Nothobranchius furzeri: one gene and its partners. The protein of the gene in region 2 purifies or fractionates together with the protein of the main gene of each other region. This does not show direct contact. Links are inferred from orthologs where the notes say so. Each region holds a gene or a part of one and is shown on either strand. Other genes may lie near its edges.

Region 1 (6,433 bases), on a different chromosome or scaffold from region 2:
AAAACTAAAGTTACATTTTACAAAATGAGAATTATTTGTTACAAAACAAAAGTTATATTTTACAAAATGTGATTGACATGCTACAAAATGAAAGTTACAGTTACAAAACATGTTACAAAACTTGGTACAAGTTGCATGTAATATTGTCCCAATTCTAGCTTCATATCACTTCATTGTTTGACTGGAATTGTGTACATTTGTGCTGGTCAGGTGGTGTGTGTGTTTGTGTTTTGTTTTTTTTGCTGCAGGGTGTGATGGGGATTTTTTTATAATGTGCATGGCTCCAGTCTGTTGGCTGGCTGCAGGTGGCAGAATGATGGGATGTGGTGCCTTCTATGTGCTTTGTCGATATTATCAACTCGTCAATAACTAGTTTTCCATGCAGGCATGCAGCTAATGCAGTTTTTATTTATTCTGCTGATTATTTTACCATCCCGATTAAACAAAAAGAAGGGATGGTGGCCGAAAGCAGAGATTTTAAAACATCATCTTTGCTAATAATATTGTCATACTAAATGAAATACCAGTCTCAGTATTTCTCTACTGATTCTGGAAAAACATTGATTTTTTTTTATAAAGCCCCAAGGTGCTGTACATAGTGCAGATAATCATTAAAAACTCTGTAAAAGCACATTATGGTCAAATGAAAGCATAAAACATTAAAAACAATAAAAAATTATAAGCAATAGGACCAAAGAGCAATCAGGAAAAACACTAAAATAATTAATGAAACTAACTAAATGATCTAAGATGAAGCTTTAAAAATATCCAGACGTGGACTGTTTTAGATCTGATGGAAGTTGGCTTAAGAGCCAAGGACCTGTGACTGATAATGCGCGGTAAACCCTAGACTTGCGTGTTGACCATTTTGACCAAGGAACCACCAACAGGTCACTCCGAACCGAGCGTAGAGACCTAGCAGGGATATAATGGTTCACAAGTGAGTCTAAATATGGTGGTGCTGATCCAGACAGTGAGTTAAAAACAAAGGCCAGGATTTTGAACAGAATGCAACATTTTACAGGTAACCAGTTAAAGGCAGCCAGGAGGTTTTTTTTCAGTTAGATTGCCAAATCAATAGGTTGTAGGTTGTAAGCTACTAGAAAAAAATATTCTCAGTTTTAATAATTTTTAGGTAATAAATTAAAGGAAATTGTCTCTTTTACTTCACTTTTTAGCACATTTTCATTATCTTAATGTTTTTTTTGTCTACCCAGTTTAAATATTTTGTTAAATTATTTGGCAATTCAATTAAATAAATATTAAAATGTATTCCATTTCAGAGCAAACCGTAGCAGAGTTGGCGGGTGTGATTCTCCACGTTTATGTGGAAGCTTCCCCTACGGTGGCGGGGAGTTTGCGAGCTTTTTAGACTGAACACAGAAGAAAATCCTCTGAGCACATCAGTAACCATGGCCAGGGTTAAATGAACATTGCATGTTCTTTTTGGTATTATAAAACTCCCCTTATTGTTCATTCTTAGGCTTTTTAGGGAGTCCTTTATGCTTTGTAACATCTCTATTCTCCTCCTTTCCTCATCAGTCCTCTCTGCGATTGTTTTATCGTCCTGACTGTAGTTTGTCTTCTCATAGTGACTGTGGAGTGCTGTTGTTGTGCTGTGCTTGTTTGTTTCTTTCTTTTTCTCTCTCTTTTCTGTACTAACGGTGTGTTCTGGCCCAGCCTTGGGTAACGCGCGCTCATACAAACTGCTAGACTGGAATAGTGTCACTGCAGGTATTTTCCCCCTTTTTCTGCTCTCACCCATCAGAGCGATGGCGGTTCAGTGGAGCTAAATCTAAACTTTTTACACTTAAATATATGTATGAATTCACTGAGCTGCCATCCTCCTCTTTCTGTTCTCTGTGTGTATGTGTGTGTGCTGAGCTGAGCATGCTCTGTGTCATCACCCTGCTTCATCCAACCTGGCCTGGCTGCCTTCCCCCCCACCCCCCATCTTGCTGCTTCCCAGAGCTGCAGCCCTTCGCTGACGTCGTCCCAGGGTTGTTCTTAGTGCCTCCTGAGTCAGTGGTCAAACCTGTCTAGACCAGAGGAGGTTTAGGAGGTTTGCTCTGCATCATAGAGCCACCTACTGGGCATGTGCATCCCTAACTCACTGGGCCGTATTCATACTGAGAGTGAGAGGAGAGACGAGTGATGAATGGACAGATGTATGGAGGCAGACTGATGGGGCGAGCATGTGAGGAAAATTAATCCCTCTTTTTAATTAAAAAAATATTTAATGTACTCTAGTGAATGAATATAGCCCTTCTCTAGTCATGAGTGTGCACGTTGGTGAGCCTGTGCCTGTCTGACACGCTGCTGCTGGTTTTATATGAACCCACTCTGATCATCACTCATTCTTCATCTCTATAGTTTGATCACTCACCATTTTCCCTAAATCCATTTCTTTTCCTTTGAGGCTTCCGTCAGCATGTTGGGCTCTGGCGCCACACTCTTTTGTGTTTTCCTTCAAGTCCTCTTGTGTTTACCAACCATCCCGTGTTGAGTTAAAGGGATATTATGGCCATTTTGAACTGTGTGTATATTTCCTGTTGTACATAGCCACCTGAGCAGCCTCTGTATGGGGAAGTTGATCGGACGCTGTTCTGTTTGTAATTTTTACCACTTAAAATGTCTGAAATGTTCCTCTAATTGCTCAACTTGTAGAATCTAGAGTCCTTCATACAGCGACAACACAGAGATATTTCTATTGAATCTCAAAATTTGAGAAAGTCTCAATCTGTTCAAATTGATCAAGTTTACCAAAAAGCAGATCAGGTACTCTTACCTACTTCTGTTCCAGCTAGCATGACTGTGCCTTCACAGGTACAGATCACACGTATTTCCTGTGTCCTTTCTGTGAGTGGAGCCGACTGAAAGGAGACACAGAGACGAGGACTAGCCAGGCTACTAACATCACAAACTCCTCACATTGCCTTTATCGTCTCCAAATGCTCACAAATCATTCTCTGTGTCACTTTGTTTTACAAAATGACAACCAGTTTTTGCTTGCTTTAATAAGTCATGTGACTCATAAACCACCAGGTTTTTGTGTGTGTAAACTTTACTGGTAAGTCGGAGTCGTTAGATTAGATGCAGACTCACTAGTAGTGTGTTTGAGGTTGTGACGGATGCCTAAGCCTGTTAAATATATTTTATCAAGTTAGAAAGCTGCTTTTTAAAGCTGTTTGATTCATCACTTTGTGTTTTTACAGATGAACCGGAGACTCGCGATGCCTGGTGGGAGGAGATTCGCCAGGAAATCAAATCGCACGCCAAAGCTCTCGGTTGCCACGCTGTCGTTGGGTACAGTGAGAACACGAGCATCTGGTACGCAGCGGCGCCTGCGTGAAATCAGGAAAAATGTTCTTTTTGAATGGCTGCTTCAGTCTTTGATGTCCAGAGGCCTCATTTATTAAAACTTTGAGTGGAATGCTGACTAGAGCTCTGAGAGTAATGTAGATGCACAGAAAAAATGTTATTGCCTTCGAGTTGCATGTCCTTGTTGCAGCGGTGACTCGTGGTGCAGCTGAGGAAATTGCAGCAGACATAAAAAGAAGGAAGTGGTCAGATGGAGGTAAAGAGGAAGATGGCAATAGTCATTGATACTATTCAAAATGGCTGCATTGGTGCTCAGGGTTCGCTGAGATACCCCAGATCCAAGGGGAACGTTTAATTTAACCCAAAGAGTCTTAAAGTGATGGTGTGTATTTTTCCTGGTGATCGGGGGCAGTACATACCTAAATCATTGCAAGCAAGCCTTATTTTTGTGTTCAAATAAGACCTTACCAATGGATGGCCATTAGGGTCAAAAATCCCTGGGAGTGCAACCTCCAGCAAAATGTCAAGCACATCATAAGGCAGCTTTCTAAATAAGTCCACTATTCTTTTATTTTCTTTTGATCACAGCGAAGAGGTCTGTATCCTGTCAGCTTCAGGCACAGCAGCCATCTTGAATCCTCGCTACATGCGTGAAGGCTGCCTGGACGTTGGAAGCATCGACCACAGGTTGATTAGATTTCTTGCACATTTTAAAAATTGAATTCTGTTTCATCTCAGAGTTTGATGCAATAAGAGTCGGGTTCGTTGCACAGGTTTGATGATCCTTCACCTCCCAACTGTGGCTTCTGTCACATCCCATACGACGAGCTCAACATGCCGTTTCCTGCCCAGCTCGCGTATTGTTACCAGTGCAGACGGCAAAAGGTTGTTAGCTTAAGAATTGGTTAAAACATGTTTGTTTTATATTTTTCTCTTCTTGGTCACAAGTTTAAAACAACAGCCATATTCTTTCAAGGTTCCTGATGTGCTTTTCACAACAATCGATCTGCCAGCAGAAGCAGCTGTCACAGGAAAAGGCTGCCTCATTCAGGCCAGGTAGAAACACTTCAGGAAATATACAAATAGCCTCCTTAGTCAACTTAGACTTTGAAAAATACCAAATTCTCACGATTGCTTTCTTCTAGATTGTGTCGTCTGAAGAAGAAAGCCCAGGGAGAAGTGAATGCAACGGCCATTTCGAACCTGTTGCCTTTCATGGAATACGAGCTGCACACTCAGCTGATGAATAAGCTGAAACTACGGAGCATGAACGCTCTCTTTGGACTCCACATACAGATCAGTGTTGGAGAAAACATGCTCCTGGGATTAGCTGTAGGTCCATATTTTAGAAAACACAAAAGAAAAACTTTTTGTGTCTTCTAAAAAGTGTGTGTGTGTGTGTGTGTGTGTGTGTGTGTGTGTGTGTGTGTGTGTGTGTGTGTGTGTGTGTGTGTGTGTGTGTGTGTGTGTGTGTTTTCAGTCGGCCACAGGAGTGTACCTGACTGCTCTGCCAGCACCAGGAGGGATACAGATTGCTGGGAAGACTCCCGGCGACCTGAACAATGAGCAGCATGTTGCAGCTATCCAGAAAAGAATCAACGATGCCATCGCCAAGAACAAAGAGCTCTACCAAATAAACCCTCCGGTGAGAAACACAACTCTGGGTTTTACAGGAAATAAGATGGTGGAACGTGTGTTTTGTGATCGTGTCTGGTCTCCTTTGGCTCTGTTGTAAAGGAAAGGTACAAAAATGCTTCAGCACAATAGGTGCCAGTGGGGAGGGTTGTTTTTAGTCCAGAGATGATGATAAAAATCAATGCTTTCTTACAAAACAAGTATATTAAATATTTTTACTTTGCCATTATTTACCTCCAGATATGCACAAGGACAGTGAAATGAGAGCAGGCTCATTTGTTTTGATACATTGAGTGCAGTACTCACATTTGACCACAGGATGTCACTCTAGCTTCATGCTCCTTTTAAACAGTAACACAAACAGTCCAAATGACAAGTTATTTAAATTAGTTGGATCTGGAAATCATTTCAAGCTTGTGTAGAGTTGGATTTTAGTATAAAGAGAGGGGTTTGCTTGAATAAACACCATCTTCTGTCTTCTTTTTAATTGCTAAAAACTATTTTTAAATGAGAAGAAAGGCAGCAAGCTACAGCCAAAATGTCAAAGATTTCTGCAGCTTCCCTCCAGAAAAAAATGTCATTAAACTGCTGTCTGTGCTCCGGACATTTTTTTTTTTAATCGAGGTAAATCTACTTCCTCTTGTCTCTTTCTGAAAGAAATTATTTGCCCTGGACCCAGAGGTGTTCTGCGGCACCACCATGGTACTGAGCATGACAGATATTAGCTGGGAGACGCAGCAAAGCATGGCAGATACTTCACATCATTAATCGCAATAATTGACCAACTTTGCTGTAACTGTGTGACGGCTCTTAACCCCAGACTTGTGAGCGACGTGATGCATAACTCACACCAAGTCCGTGTGACGTGTTGTAGTTTAACCCAGTTCCATCTCTGTATTTTTTTTTATTTGTGTGTGTTTGTGTCGGTAAAGCAGCACAGAGTGAATGTGGGCATCTAGAGTTACTAACATAGTCAGTATGTTAGTTGATATGTTAATAATCCAGCGTTCACTCATGTTCCTTTGCTCGCAGGAGCTGACAGACGAAGGAGTGGGTTCCCCGATCCCCGAGCCGAGGCAGCGATCCAGAATTTTCCGCTCCCACTCAGAAAGCTCTGATGAACTCTCTGAACTCGATCTATCACACGGCAAAAAGGACGCCTTCGTCCTGGAGGTGTCTACAAACACGTGCACACCAGTTCACCTCTTTGCATGAGTCACAATAATAATCAGCTGTCTTCCTCGCAGATTGATGACACCGACGCTGTGGAGGACATCCACTCTCTCCTCACTGATGCACCTCCACCTGCAGGTTTCTGCAACGCTCCTGCCCCCCTACCCCATAAGGGCTTAAAGCTCCAGCTGTTTGCATTTCTGTGCTCTCTTTGTTTTGTTTGCAGGTTTCCACAGCTGCAGCACTGAGACCATGCCTGGGATTTATAACTGGACGTCAGGAATACAGGTACACCTGCAATTTA
Region 2 (6,533 bases):
GAAATTTTAGAAATTTGTTTATTATCTGAAAAAATGATAAGACTGACCTCAGGACCAAGCTTTTATGTATGAAAGGCTCAACCAGAGTGACACTACAATGTAGAAATGTGGCAAACTGAAAACTTAAAACACTGAGAGTTTGAAATTAGGTCATTTATAAGATTGTTTTATTTCAGAAAACAAAAAGATCATACCTCTGTTTGACAAAATGTGACAAATTATTTTTATATGCAACATTTACAAAGAGTTGGGAAGTTTTTCTTGTGTTCAATCAAGTCTAGCTGAGATTCCTGCATATTTATGGAGGTTGGAGGTTTTTTATGGAACTGGAATTGAGACAATATGTAACTTGTACCCAGCTTTGTAACCTGTAACATGTTTTGTAACTGTAACTTTTATTTTGTAACTTGCAGAAAACAATCAATGTACAAATTTCAAATTACAACTTTCAACACACAAATCTCAGTCTACAAGTACAAAACATTTTGTCCAAATTCTAGCTTCCTTCCCAAAGAACCAATGACAGGCTTTGTCTGACCAGCCAATCATGAGTCTTGGATTCCTTTTCAAATAAAATTCCTGTTTCCTGCAAGCTAGAATTGTTCCTAAATGTTTTGTATTTGTAGACTTGAGTTTTGTAACTAGACTGAGATTTGTGTGTTGAAAGTTGTAATTTGAAATTTGTACATTGTTTTCTGCAAGTTGCAAAATGAAAGTTTCATGGTATGTACCGAAGTTAAGCCGGGCGTACACTGTGCGACTTTTTCACTTTTTTGAGCCGATTTTCCAGTCGTGCGAGAATCCACGACATCGGGGCGAGTTTTGCGCCGAGCGGTCGTGTAGTGTGCAGGGGGTTACGAGAGGCGATTAACACCACGTGACCAGCCGCCGATCAGCAGTCGTGAGGTCGCAGGGACTTCTGGTGTGTTTAATATTTTGCTCATCCCTCGTGAGGGTATCGCACTGTTGAAGCAGCGCTGCGAGCAGCTGCGAGCAGCTACGATCCAAAAAAGTATCAGAACCGCTCACGGCGCATGCGCGCGCAATCCTGCATCAACGCCGGCCGGTCGCTCGCTATTTCCCTAATAACACACGCTGTTCGTTTTTGTTTCTACACGTTTTTTTTACTCACAAAGATTGTCAAGAAAGCGTGTTTGTCGTGTTCATGTCAAATTAAACTGATCACAAAACACAGATTCACTTTCTTTATTTCATTTTCCTCATTCAACCCCCATAAGTCTCTGTGTGTCCTCCTGCAGCACTCCCGAAGGACAACAGGCAAGACAAAAAAGTCTGACGTGTTGAGTAAAAACTGCTATTTTTAGCACATTTTTAGGGCCGACGTGTTGCTACCAGACGTACAGTGTGAGCAGTCAGATCGCATGCGAGAACTGGGTCGTACAGTGTGAGCACACGACTCGTGAGATCTGCTCTGCGAGGAAGTCGTACAGTTTGAGCTGAAGCTGAACGCTGCGAGTGAAAAAGTCGCACAGTGTACCCCCGGCTTTACATGTTACAAAATGAAAATTACATTCTACAACGTCATAGTTACAAAACATATTACAAGTTACAAAACTAAGTACAAGTTTAATGTAATATTGTCCCAGTCCTAGTTCCATAGTTTTTTATATGTTGGGACCGGGACTTCTTTACTCATTATTTATCCTATTTCTTCAAACCTTTTAGCAAAACTTCTAAAGAATTCTTCTGCAGCTTGAAGTTAAACACCAAAAGTTACTTCTGTCAGTTTTAAACAAACTCGGTAGTATAAACAAGCACAGCTGTTTCAGGAGAAATCTTGCACCTTCTGTGAAGCTTTTTGTTTTTCTACAGGGTGTTCCTTTACCTCAGTGACACGTTCAGTTCATTCATGTACAAAATGCTGTTTCAGTAACAGGTGGCCACATCATTAACATCAGCATCGCTGTGAGAACTTTTGATCCTTTGTTGCTGAAAACCAGCCAGCCCACACACTGTTCTGTTAATGCATCATAATTTGGACTTCTACTGCACTTCAGGTGACAGTGTTTTCCAAAACTTGGAGGAATAAATGTAAAATAGCCGGCAATGCAGCAATTTGGTCAAATGCACCAACGCTTGAGTTAAAATGGAGGTGGGTGTAGGTTAACGGTGCTGCGGGAACTTCAAGTTGGATTCACCTCAAAAAGCACCAAAACACTGGGCTGTTGTAATGCTGCTAACGTCTCTGCAGGTGGTGACGTTGTGGTATCGACCTCCAGATGTCTTATTTGGCGCTAAACTTTATTCTACCTCCATCGACATGTGGTCAGCCGGGTGCATATTTGCAGGTTTGTTATTTTTTTCCACTTGTGAATGTGAAAGGTAAAGTTTTTATAAGTCATTATTTGTGTGTAAATGGTTAAATATTCATATTTTATCTACTTTAGTAATTTGATTACTATTAGCTAATAATTACAACTGCAGTTTTATCTCATGCAATTCTTTTACTTTGTACAAAATAAAATCCAGATGTATAAGAATGCATGGGAAGTTCAGGTGCAGTAAGCACAGTGGCTTTTTAGCTGATGAGGAGAATTTATTTAGCCAAATATGTATTTTAAGTTTCAGCTCAATTACTCTCAACAGTAGCTGAAGGATTATTTATGCCTGCTTAAGTGAAATCAGTGACACCGTTGATGCTTTAAATTATGCTAACTTATGCTTCCTCACGTCCTCTTGTGAATCAGAAATCATTTCCTCCTCCTCCATCACTCAGGAAAGGGAAATCTCCTCTTGTAATCACCCCAAGGGGATGAGAGGATTCTGAAGAGTAGTTATTCAAAGTTGTGACCTTCCTCACACCTGTCCCTCGTGCCTTCTCTCAAAGTAATTGTTGGGAATATTTTAGATATTAGATATCTTCCCACACAGGAGACTACAACTGTTTCCTCGGTAGAAATGGAGCAGTCCTGATGGTGGTTGTCACTGGTCCTGCTTCTGCTGTGTGTGCGCATTCAGTTTCACTTTTGTTTTTGTCCGTGCCCGTGCTATTGTCTTGATTTTTAATAGGTAGCCGCCACCTGGTGGCGTTAACCACGGTTAATAGTCAAACTGGTTAATCCTGCCACAGCCTCCAATGTAGACCGCACCAATGTTCACTCTTTGTCCAGTTCATGCTTTCTTTGCTTTGCCTCTCTTTTTACTTCCAGGCACCACCATGATGCAAACAAAAAACTCTTCTTTTTACACTTTTTTTTAACTAATGATCAACAAACTAAAAAGAGCTACCTGGTAGCCTTTTTATTAGCTACCAGCATAGTAAACACCCCAACTGTTGCTGCACCTCTCACTTGTCCTTTCCTGAACCACAAAGTTGCTTGGTGCAGTTTCTGGCCAGAAGAGAGCTGCAGAGTGCTGTCACATGTGAAGCTGCTCAACTTCGGGTTCAAGAACCACTGAAACCAGCTTGAAAGCATTACCTTAAACTGTTAAACTCTTTAGTGTTTCTTTAAAGAGCAAGTCACCCTCCCACCAGAGTCTCACTCCACCTACACTTCCTGTTTGAAACCAAAAGGAGGTGTCGCCTGGTGGACCAAGAGAGCGGTGCTGAGGCATTGATTAGGGAACACTTGTTCAAGTGTTGCATTTAAAAAAATCCGATGTTTTGTTGTTTTGCTCTAGAGCTGGCTAATGCTGGACGGCCATTATTCCCTGGCAATGACGTGGACGACCAGCTGAAAAGAATCTTCAGATATCCTTTGCCAGTAAATCTGTCCATCTGTTACCAAGAGTAGACTTCTGTTTTTATTATTATTCCTGTAAACATTTAGTCTTTAACCACTGCCTACATTGTTGGGAACACCCACCGAGGAACAGTGGCCGACTATGACGAAGCTTCCTGATTACAAGGTAAATTTAGTGGCTGATTTTCTCTTGACAGCAGCCTTGGACGTTGGTTCCAACACAAGATTTTTGGACCTTTTTTCCAATAAAGACACTGCTACTCTTGTATTCTTCCACCAGCCATATCCCATGTATCCAGCCACCACATCACTGGTGAACGTGGTTCCCAAGCTAAGCAGCACAGGACGAGATCTACTGCAGGTACTTCAACATTTCTATTTATAAAAAAATAATTCAATGCATGACTGTTGTCAGCTTTTATGCTTTGCACAGATTGTTGCTCATTAAAACCTTTCCCTTGATCTGATCCAGAACCTGTTGAAATGTAATCCTGTCCAGAGGATTTCAGCGGAAGAGGCCTTGCAGCACCCTTACTTTGCTGATTTCTGCCCACCCTAAACACTAAATTGCTCCTTACTGAGGATCAGAGACACAGGAACCAATAATCCATCACTCGTTTTATCATTAGAACCACCTCTCAAACCCCTCACTGGTACTTGAGCAGTTCGTTCTTTTGTGCCTGTGTGTGAAACAAAGCCCCGGTGGCTCTGCTGTGTTTTAGGGCCTTCTAAGTTAAATGCCTGTGTAATTTGGTCCAAACACACCTCAGCCAGTTAGCACCAACATGAGCAGATGTTGCATTGAATAAATTTTTTTTTATATATTCCTAGAATTGTTTATTTCCTGCTATTTTGCCTGTTTTAATAGTGTTTTATTATCAGAATTTTAATTTATTAAGTTTTAACTGGGATTTGTCCTAATCGATACTCATTTAACTTGTTTAATTATCTCAGATGCTTGAGAATCAAAGTGCTTGTATATAACGCATCAATTACTCACTCAGCCTTTGTAAAAGAGTCAGTAGTATCCCTAAGGAAGTAGCTTAAACCGACTGAATCTGCAGAGATGTGTACAGACATTTTAATCCCCTTAACAAATATTTATACTAGCAGGAATGGGAAAATGTGAAAGTAAATGAGCTCAGACAGCGACTGAAATCCTGTGACTCTGGACAAATAATGTAAAGATGGCAGTAGATGTGAAGTCTTTTATGAGATTTTTTGCACACACTGATTTTATTATTATTGTACCCACTTGGGTACTTGACACAGACCAAACAGACAGCTCAGTTCTGCATTAACGTGTCCGGACAGTCCCCAAATCACGTCACACAACCTTTGATCAGAGCTGGATCAGTCCCTCGTTCTCTCTCTGAACTTCCACATACAACATCTATGTGCAGTAAAGATGCACCAAACCTGATCTTTAAGTAGTTTTGTGTATATATACAAATCTATAGCGTCAGCCATTTATTATGACCATGTTTAAATCTGTAAGTCACAAGATCCGTGTATATTTATCTAAATTTTTGGAGCTTGTTTGTTAGTGGTAAGTTGCCAAAAGCTACAAAAGGCCATGCTCGTCTACAACGCGACTCATTTATCTCATCAGAGGTTTAAATGCTTATGGACATTCACTAATTGTGTCTATTTCTAGATTGCAAAATAATAGAAACTAATTTAGTTCTTTCTTAGTTATTTCATGCAATTTATCTGTTTTTCCTATTTCCACCAGTAGTGTTCATTAACTTTACACTTCTTCAAAAAATTACAGCCATCAATAAATAGAATAGTGACATTTTATGGCTCTTTTATATTTATTATGGTTTATATATTTTGGGGGGTAGAAATGCAAATAAAATGACAAGAATCAGTTTCACATTTTTTATGATTGTTTTCACCAGTATCAGTTTCCATTTGTAACATGTTATAACAGCTGTTTGTTTCATCTCCATGGTTACTGCTGCTGTATGAAGCCAACAGCATGAGTGTTGTCTAACGCATCTGTCTCACTAAACCGTTTTTCCATTTAATTATGTGAGACAATGAATGCATGTATTTATTAAGAATGGAGTGTTTTTATTCTTATTTATGAAATGTACCAAACATTTTTCTATTGTACAGAAACATTCTCTGTAGAAAAGTTGTTTTATTGCCTCTTTTTAGATTTTGTTTTACAGCTTTTTCAAACTTAAATGAAGGGTTGGTTTTGCACTTTGACCTCTGTTTTGGCTAGAACCTGGGAGAAACATTGTGACTGTATGTTTAAGCCACTAAGACACAGTAAAATCTGCACAAATATATCTTTTCAATTATATGTGAAATTATTTGCAGGATTTTTAATGCAGATTTTCTATTTTTGTTGGTTTGATCAACACAAAATGTGGATTAGTAATTAAATATAGACAGTTCAGTAATGGAAAGTTTTCCTAATTAGTACAATTTTGAAAGTTTCACATCATTCTAGGTCTTTTGGAATTTATAATTTGTATTTGACTTTTGTATCTGATAAGATTATTGAGCAGAAAACACTTATTTATTTTTCAAATATGATTGGTCACTATGAAAGTAACATGCAGGCTGAATGTGAAAATAGTCATTTACCCCTATTTCCTGCATTAGCTGCTGATAGTCAGGCAAACATGCGATTACAAAAGCCAGTCAGATCTCCGTCACCCTGAAAATTAGCATTCATGGACTCACCCATCTTGGTTTGCAATAGGCCCAATCCCAATACTCGCACTGCGCCCTACATCTTCTGTGAAGTGCTTTTGGAGGAAGTGTGCAGCAAGGCTTTGAGTGCATGGTACACGAGTGTCCAAATAATTG
Region 3 (6,533 bases), on a different chromosome or scaffold from region 2:
GCTGGAGGACGAATATGGTCTGGGAACATCAGATGGAGGAGAGCTCCCGTTTGTCACAATCCGGACCAAACTGGGACACAAATATGTCATGAGGGAAGAATTCACGTAGGTTTTAGGGTCAAACGGGGCTAAACGTCCATTGAAATGCTTTTATTCATTAATTTTCTCTTGCAGGGTATCCGCGGGTCCTTAAATTTACTTTTCCAAAGGCCTTGAAAATCTTTAAAAATGACAAATAATCCTTAAATACAGTTTCCAAAGGTCTTAAATTACCAAAGACCCAATAAACTAGATTATTTTATTTCTATGACATTTTCGTGAATTTCAGCATTTTTTGTGTACGATACTGGCGTAAGCGGAACCGTACACATTCAGTTGGTTGTGAAAGGGGACTATTTTTAGATGAGCACGTTAGCTGGTTAAGCTAGTGGGAGCTTGCGCCATGGAGAAGTGCAAGTTTAATGGTAACTGGATGGCTAATCCCATGTTTGCGACGTGGTTAGCACCGGTTCCAGGCAATAGCTAGAAATTATAGCTTAAAATTAATTTAAAAAATAGCTTCAATTTGGATCTGGATCGAAAGGAGCCAGTTGAGGTGGTTTGGGCATCTGGTCAGGATGCCTCCTGGACGCCTCCCTGGGGAGGTGTTTCAGGCTTGTCCTGCCGGCAGGAGGCCCCCGAGTTGACCCAGGACACGTTGGAGAGGTTACATCTCCAATCTGGTCCGGGAACGCCTTGGGATCCTGCCGGAGGAGCTGGTGGAGGTGGCCGGGGAGAGGATGGTCTGGTGCTCCCTAGTTGGGATGCTGCCCCCGTGACCCGGACCCGGATAAGTGGAGGAAGACGACGACAAGCTTAAATTTGGTCAAAGTGGCCTTAAAAAGGTCTTAAAAAGTCTTAAATTTGGCTCCCTTAAACCTGCAGATACCCTGTCTTGAAAATGCTGCTCACATTGCATGAATGACAGCTGGTCAGTCTTCAGGATACTAAAAGTTGACTGGTGTGTTTCAGGAGGGATGGTCAGTCACTGGGGAGGTTCCTTGAAGATTATTTTGCCGGTCGTCTCAAACGTTACATAAAATCAGAACCTTTACCTGAGAAAAACACGGCTCCTGTTAAGGTGAGCTGAGCTGCTTGTGAGCGTGACTGATTGTAAATACTGATTGTAAAAAATTTGTGCTGACCTCCTTTTGTCTTCAACACCGCAGGTGGTTGTCGCAGAATCATTTGATGAAATCGTGAACGATCCTGCTAAAGATGTTCTGATTCAGTTTTTTTCCCCGCTATGTCCACACTGCAAGAAGCTGGAGCCGGTCTACAGAGAGCTGGCTGACACGGTACACAGCTTTATTGTATTTTTGATTAAGTTTCAGTGCACTAAACTCTAGAATTAGGTCGTGTTGCTCTGATAGTAATCTGAAAATGCTCTTTATGTGTTCTCAGTTGCATTCTGACCCAAACATTGTCATTGCCAAGATGAACGCCGTCTATAATGACATCCCACTGGGATACGATGTCCAAGGGTGAGGATGACGATGTTGATGAGCACTTTTAAAGAAGAAAATTCATGAGTCTTTATTTCCTATGATTTTATTCTTCTCTCCAGGTTTCCAACCATCTATTTTGCTCCAGTGGGTAAAAAGGATGAGCCCATTCGATACCAGGTACCAAGTTTTAATAGTTTCAGCTTGAGTTCATCAATCTTTGAGACACATGATGTCTAATGGTTGTGGGACATCTTGATTTCAGGGCACTCGAGAGCTCAAAGACTTCCTAAAGTTCCTGAAGAGTGAGGCGAGTCATGGTCTGGTGCTGACTGGGTTTAAGGACGAACTGTGACAAAGATTCACCTACTGATCAGAACTGACTTTGATTAACAAAAAGATCAAGTCTTGTAACAGCTACACAGACATGAATGGGCAGCAAGAGCTCTGCTCCTGGTGACACACCAGAAACAACGAATCAGGACATGGTCCACCCATTTTTGTTTCTACCAATCAGATTCTTTCCATACTCCCCTCTAAAACCATGTCCTTGCTGAATAGAACTATTTATATATTTATTCATTTATAAAGCCATTTCATGTGCAATTCTTTGTTTTTTTATTCCAGAAAACTAAATGCATTTTGATATAATACCATCTGTGCAGTTTGTATTTGGTGCTGTGTTTAGTTTTTATTTATTTATTTATTTATTGACTTAATTACTTATACTTTGGCAGTCTTTGGTTATTTTGTGAGCTTTGTTATGTTGAGAAGCTCTGCTGAGATTATGTAATAAAACCATGCTTGACAACTGACTGTTAATTAAATTCTCATGAATTAATACGCCTTAATAGCTTTTGTAAAATTGTTTTCAGCCGTTGTTTTTATGATGGGATTTAAAAAGAAATTTAATTTTTAAATTATACTTCAGTGTGCCTGAGTTTGCTCAACCATTATTTCCATGCCTGTGTGTTGTAATAAAGCTTAATAATAATAGCTGGGATCAACTGAACAAACTTTGCAAGTTCCACGAGTGTTAAAACACATAAAAGTCATTTTCAATCTTCGTAAAAAAAATTTTTTTTTTTTTTTGCTAAATCGTTGTGGGTTCTATTTCTATTAGGTTTTCTCCATAAAAGGCCTATTACTAGAAGAGTTTACCTCATTCACTCTATTGGTGAATGCGCATGTCAATCAAAAATAATAGTCTTTGCTAATTGGCCGGACCTCAAGTAATGTCTTGCCCATTTTGTCTGAGCCGTCCCTCTCCTCGTGCCACCCAGAACCTTCGAGGCTAGTGCTGTTAGCGTCGTGGTCTCAAAATGCTCGGCCAGCAGGTTTTAGTGCTTAGTAAGTATCGAAATTTGTTCTTAACTATACTTTCAATAGTTAGATGTCGGTTACTTCCCGCCAGTTTCTGCAATTTAGTCAATTTTGTGACCGTTTGAACGCGGGGCAGATCGGCTGGGACACAAAGCAGCTAAGGATGCGCTAACCAACTGTTATAACTCAGCCGAGCATCAGCTTCTTCCACCGGTATTAGCATTGTTAGCCTACATGCTACTGATAGCATCCACACCCAACCGGCATCATTAGCATATTTAGCTCGTGTTCGGAAGTAGCGGAAAGCGTGTAGGTATGCTAGGCTAGGCTAGCTTAAGCTAACAGTCCTCTTACTCATCATGAGCGTGCAGTTAGACAACTGCGAACATTATATAATAATTAAAAAAGACATGAAATTACCTTTGATGCAGCTATTAAACACGATTTTGAATTAGTTTTGTGTGTGCGCTGTGACTGAACTGAACAACAAAATAAGCATCCGCTTTAATACATTCCGATTTCGATTGATCTATTTGATAGCCTGTAATTGCGAATTGACAGCATTGTTATCCTGCAAAAATCAAAATTCATTCATTCATAGTGTCTGAAATCACGAAAGCTCTATCTGTACTGGTATATTCCGTCCATTTTGTCTTTACAATTATTTTAGACTAGAATAGATAGCTCCCTCAGTGGGGGGATTTTGGTGTCACAGCAGCAATTAAATTCATTATAGGAGCTAAAAAGAAGAGTATAACATAATAAAAAAATTACGACAACAAAAAAATTATTTAAATATTCGAAACACTCATTTTATTTGGAATGCAATAAGAAAATGTTTTATTTAGCTGTATAGATATTACTAGTTTAATGATACAATCCAACAAAATTGATTTTAAATAAAGATGCAACAACTCAGTTAGTAAGGAGAATAATTTACTACAAAGGATTCTAGTCATAGATGCACTTTGGCCTACGTGACTGGTAAATCATATTCATTAATTTTGAAGCATTTTAACAGTGTTGGACATTTGTCAAAAATGATCTGTCACATATTTATACACAGCTGTTTTTATTGATTTTTTTTAATGTAATGTGTTGGTTTGTTATCGATCTGGCAGGCATGGGATTGCTAACCATACTGATAAATTACTTCTTTAAAACCAACAATTTCGAATTGCTAGTCATTTAATTGGGTCACTCGAAATAATGGCTATCTGTGTTTTGAAGCAAAAACACCCTTCAATTAGGTGACTCTGTAGTGATTTCTCTGTTTTCTTGTCTCTTTTTAGACCAGAATGTGAAGAGAGAATCAGGACGTAAAGTCCAAACTGGAAACATCAATGCAGCAAAGGTCAGTTGTTGCTGTAAAACGTTAAAGCTTGTGTTAGACAGTCTCATCTGTCTTTTGAGTGCGGAAGAAAACTGTTTAATGTTTGAGATTAGCCAATCTAGGCTGTTTTTTTGTTTTTAATATGGAGACGTTGAGTAGCTGGGAAAGAAAAGGCCAGACTAGAGTAGAAATTCCTCTTAATAGACTGAGATCAGTCTCTGAAGAGAAAAATGCTTCATTTGTTTTAAAATTGTTTTATTCCCCCAGCCCTTACATATATTGTTCTTGTGCAATCTATTTTAGACCATAGCCGATGTGATCAGGACCTGCCTCGGCCCACGGGCCATGATGAAGGTGAGTTTGTCTATACAGAGAATCACCGCACCCAGTCATTTACAAAAATAAAATAAGTCCGTAATATTCCATGTTTTCATGTCATTTTGTCTAGATGTTGCTTGACCCTACAGGAGGAATCGTAATGACAAACGATGGAAATGCCATCCTCCGAGAGGTCAGGGTCACATAAACACTTGGAAGTTTGTCACTTCATCAATTCCTTCAGTGTTTCATAACATCCTGCTTCTCCATGGCAACAGATTCAGGTACAGCATCCCGCAGCCAAGTCGATGATCGAGATCAGTCGCACACAGGATGAAGAGGTGGGAGATGGGACCACATCAGTCATCATACTGGGTATAAAAGCTTTATTTTTAATCTAAAGAAGCTCAGACTTCCCCTTTAGAGGGAATTCAGTTTGTTTTATTTAACATCCGTCATTTAATGTCTCAAATTTCAGCTGGAGAGATGTTGGCTGTAGCTGAACAGTTTCTGGAGCAGCAGATGCATCCAACAGTGATCATCAGTGCTTACAGACAGGCTCTGGAGGACATGTTGGACACACTGAAGGAAATCAGGTAGAGTCTGACAGTTTCCATCGCCTCCTTGTTACATTATAATTATTTTTGATTTGTTGTAAGCCAACCAAACAGCAGCTTAGAAATAACATTACACATTTATGAATGAGTTAATTTTGTGAAACTTGTACAGGAAGTTTGACTGAATATTGTTGTCCTCCTCCAGCATCCCCGTGGACACTTCAGACCGCTCCATGATGCTGAAGATTGTTCACTCTGCCATCAACACCAAAGCTCTGAGCCGCTGGTCGGAGCTGGCCTGCAACATCGCGCTGGACGCCGTTCGTACGGTGGAGCTGGAAGAGAACGGGCGCAAAGAGATTGACATCAAGAAGTACGCCAAAGTAGAGAAGGTACGACTGTTGCTCATTACACCTGATCACTTTAGGTTAGAACAGAAGATCAAGTGTTTCCTGCATTAATTGCATTCATTCTTTTGTCTCACATCTCCCGTGTTGTGTTCAGGTTCCAGGTGGAATCATCGAGGATTCCTGTGTGCTGAAAGGAGTGATGGTGAACAAAGATGTGACTCACCCAAGAATGAGGCGAATGATCAAAAATCCCCGTATCCTCCTGCTGGACTGTTCTCTGGAGTACAAAAAGGGGGAGAGCCAGGTATAGTGAGCTGCTTCTTTGTCTTAGAACATAACCAGATTATATAAATCAGTATTTAACTCACATTTATTCTACAGACAGACATAGAGATAACTAAGGAGGAGGACTTTGCCAAGATCCTACAGCTGGAGGAAGAATACATCCATCAGATCTGTGAGGACATCATCCGCCTCAAACCAGACTTGGTCTTCACTGAAAAGGGCATTTCAGGTACCTGAACAACTTTTGGTGTTTTTCTCTGTTGTTCAGTCTTTGCATTACAAAGGCAGCTTAAAAAGAACTGTTATTCAGTCCTAACTCTTCTTTACTCGTTCAGATCTGGCTCAGCACTACTTGGTGAAGGCAAACATCACTGCCATTCGCCGTGTGAGGAAGACTGACAACAACCGCATTGCCAGGTATATTTGTTTGTTACGCAGAGAACTTTAACCAAGTCAGTCCTACTCTGACATAGCTTTATACGCTTGCTGTGTTTTTCAGGGCGTGTGGAGCTCGAATTGTGAGCCGAACAGACGAACTGCGTGAGGAAGATATTGGTTTGAAGGCCGGGCTGTTTGAAGTAAAGAAGATCGGAGATGAGTATTTCACTTTTGTCACAGAGTGTAAAGATCCCAAGGCCTGCACTATCCTGTTGAGAGGAGCCAGCAAGGAGATCCTGGCGGTGAGTTTCCCCATCTTCTAAATCAGTCCGGTTAATATGTGCTTTGTGTAAGGACGTTTGTGTTCTGCAGGAGGTGGAGAGGAACCTGCAGGATGCCATGCAGGTGTGCCGTAACGTGCTACTCGACCCATTCCTGCTTCCTGGCGGCGGCGCTGTTGAGATGGCGGTGTCGAAGCGTTTGACAGAGCGTTCCCGCGCTTTGA

What was found.
Region 1: the proteins of cdk5 (region 2) and c2cd5 purify together in Homo sapiens (affinity purification with mass spectrometry; 6 studies listed by BioGRID and IntAct, counting the BioPlex papers as one, with this or other methods). This does not show direct contact. The link is inferred for Nothobranchius furzeri from reciprocal best matches to the Homo sapiens genes CDK5 and C2CD5.
Region 3: the proteins of cdk5 (region 2) and cct3 purify together in Homo sapiens (affinity purification with mass spectrometry; 3 studies listed by BioGRID and IntAct, with this or other methods). This does not show direct contact. The link is inferred for Nothobranchius furzeri from reciprocal best matches to the Homo sapiens genes CDK5 and CCT3.

Annotation. Positions count from the first base shown.
Region 1 is NC_091744.1:70,674,874-70,681,306, forward strand, and holds part of c2cd5 (C2 domain-containing protein 5), read left to right. Parts: intron 1-1,680; coding exon 1,681-1,734; intron 1,735-3,215; coding exon 3,216-3,330; intron 3,331-3,909; coding exon 3,910-4,008; intron 4,009-4,094; coding exon 4,095-4,206; intron 4,207-4,297; coding exon 4,298-4,377; intron 4,378-4,466; coding exon 4,467-4,653; intron 4,654-4,801; coding exon 4,802-4,966; intron 4,967-5,613; coding exon 5,614-5,658; intron 5,659-5,988; coding exon 5,989-6,129; intron 6,130-6,203; coding exon 6,204-6,267; intron 6,268-6,355; coding exon 6,356-6,417; intron 6,418-6,433. UniProt on the Homo sapiens protein: Required for insulin-stimulated glucose transport and glucose transporter SLC2A4/GLUT4 translocation from intracellular glucose storage vesicle (GSV) to the plasma membrane (PM) in adipocytes.
Region 2 is NC_091751.1:49,907,726-49,914,258, forward strand, and holds the end of cdk5 (cyclin-dependent kinase 5), read left to right. Parts: intron 1-2,212; coding exon 2,213-2,309; intron 2,310-3,642; coding exon 3,643-3,712; intron 3,713-3,809; coding exon 3,810-3,870; intron 3,871-3,984; coding exon 3,985-4,065; intron 4,066-4,176; coding exon 4,177-4,263; 3' UTR 4,264-4,534; downstream 4,535-6,533. UniProt on the Homo sapiens protein: Proline-directed serine/threonine-protein kinase essential for neuronal cell cycle arrest and differentiation and may be involved in apoptotic cell death in neuronal diseases by triggering abortive cell cycle re-entry. Interacts with D1 and D3-type G1 cyclins.
Region 3 is NC_091759.1:9,429,862-9,436,394, reverse strand, and holds the start of cct3 (T-complex protein 1 subunit gamma), read left to right. Parts: upstream 1-2,703; 5' UTR 2,704-2,806; coding exon 2,807-2,834; intron 2,835-4,099; coding exon 4,100-4,161; intron 4,162-4,443; coding exon 4,444-4,494; intron 4,495-4,588; coding exon 4,589-4,651; intron 4,652-4,736; coding exon 4,737-4,833; intron 4,834-4,936; coding exon 4,937-5,054; intron 5,055-5,220; coding exon 5,221-5,407; intron 5,408-5,519; coding exon 5,520-5,669; intron 5,670-5,746; coding exon 5,747-5,879; intron 5,880-5,985; coding exon 5,986-6,067; intron 6,068-6,149; coding exon 6,150-6,330; intron 6,331-6,400; coding exon 6,401-6,533. Other genes in the region: pdia8 (protein disulfide-isomerase A3), read left to right, coding at 1-105, 1,012-1,120, 1,209-1,337, 1,444-1,523, 1,607-1,664, 1,750-1,839. UniProt on the Homo sapiens protein: Component of the chaperonin-containing T-complex (TRiC), a molecular chaperone complex that assists the folding of actin, tubulin and other proteins upon ATP hydrolysis.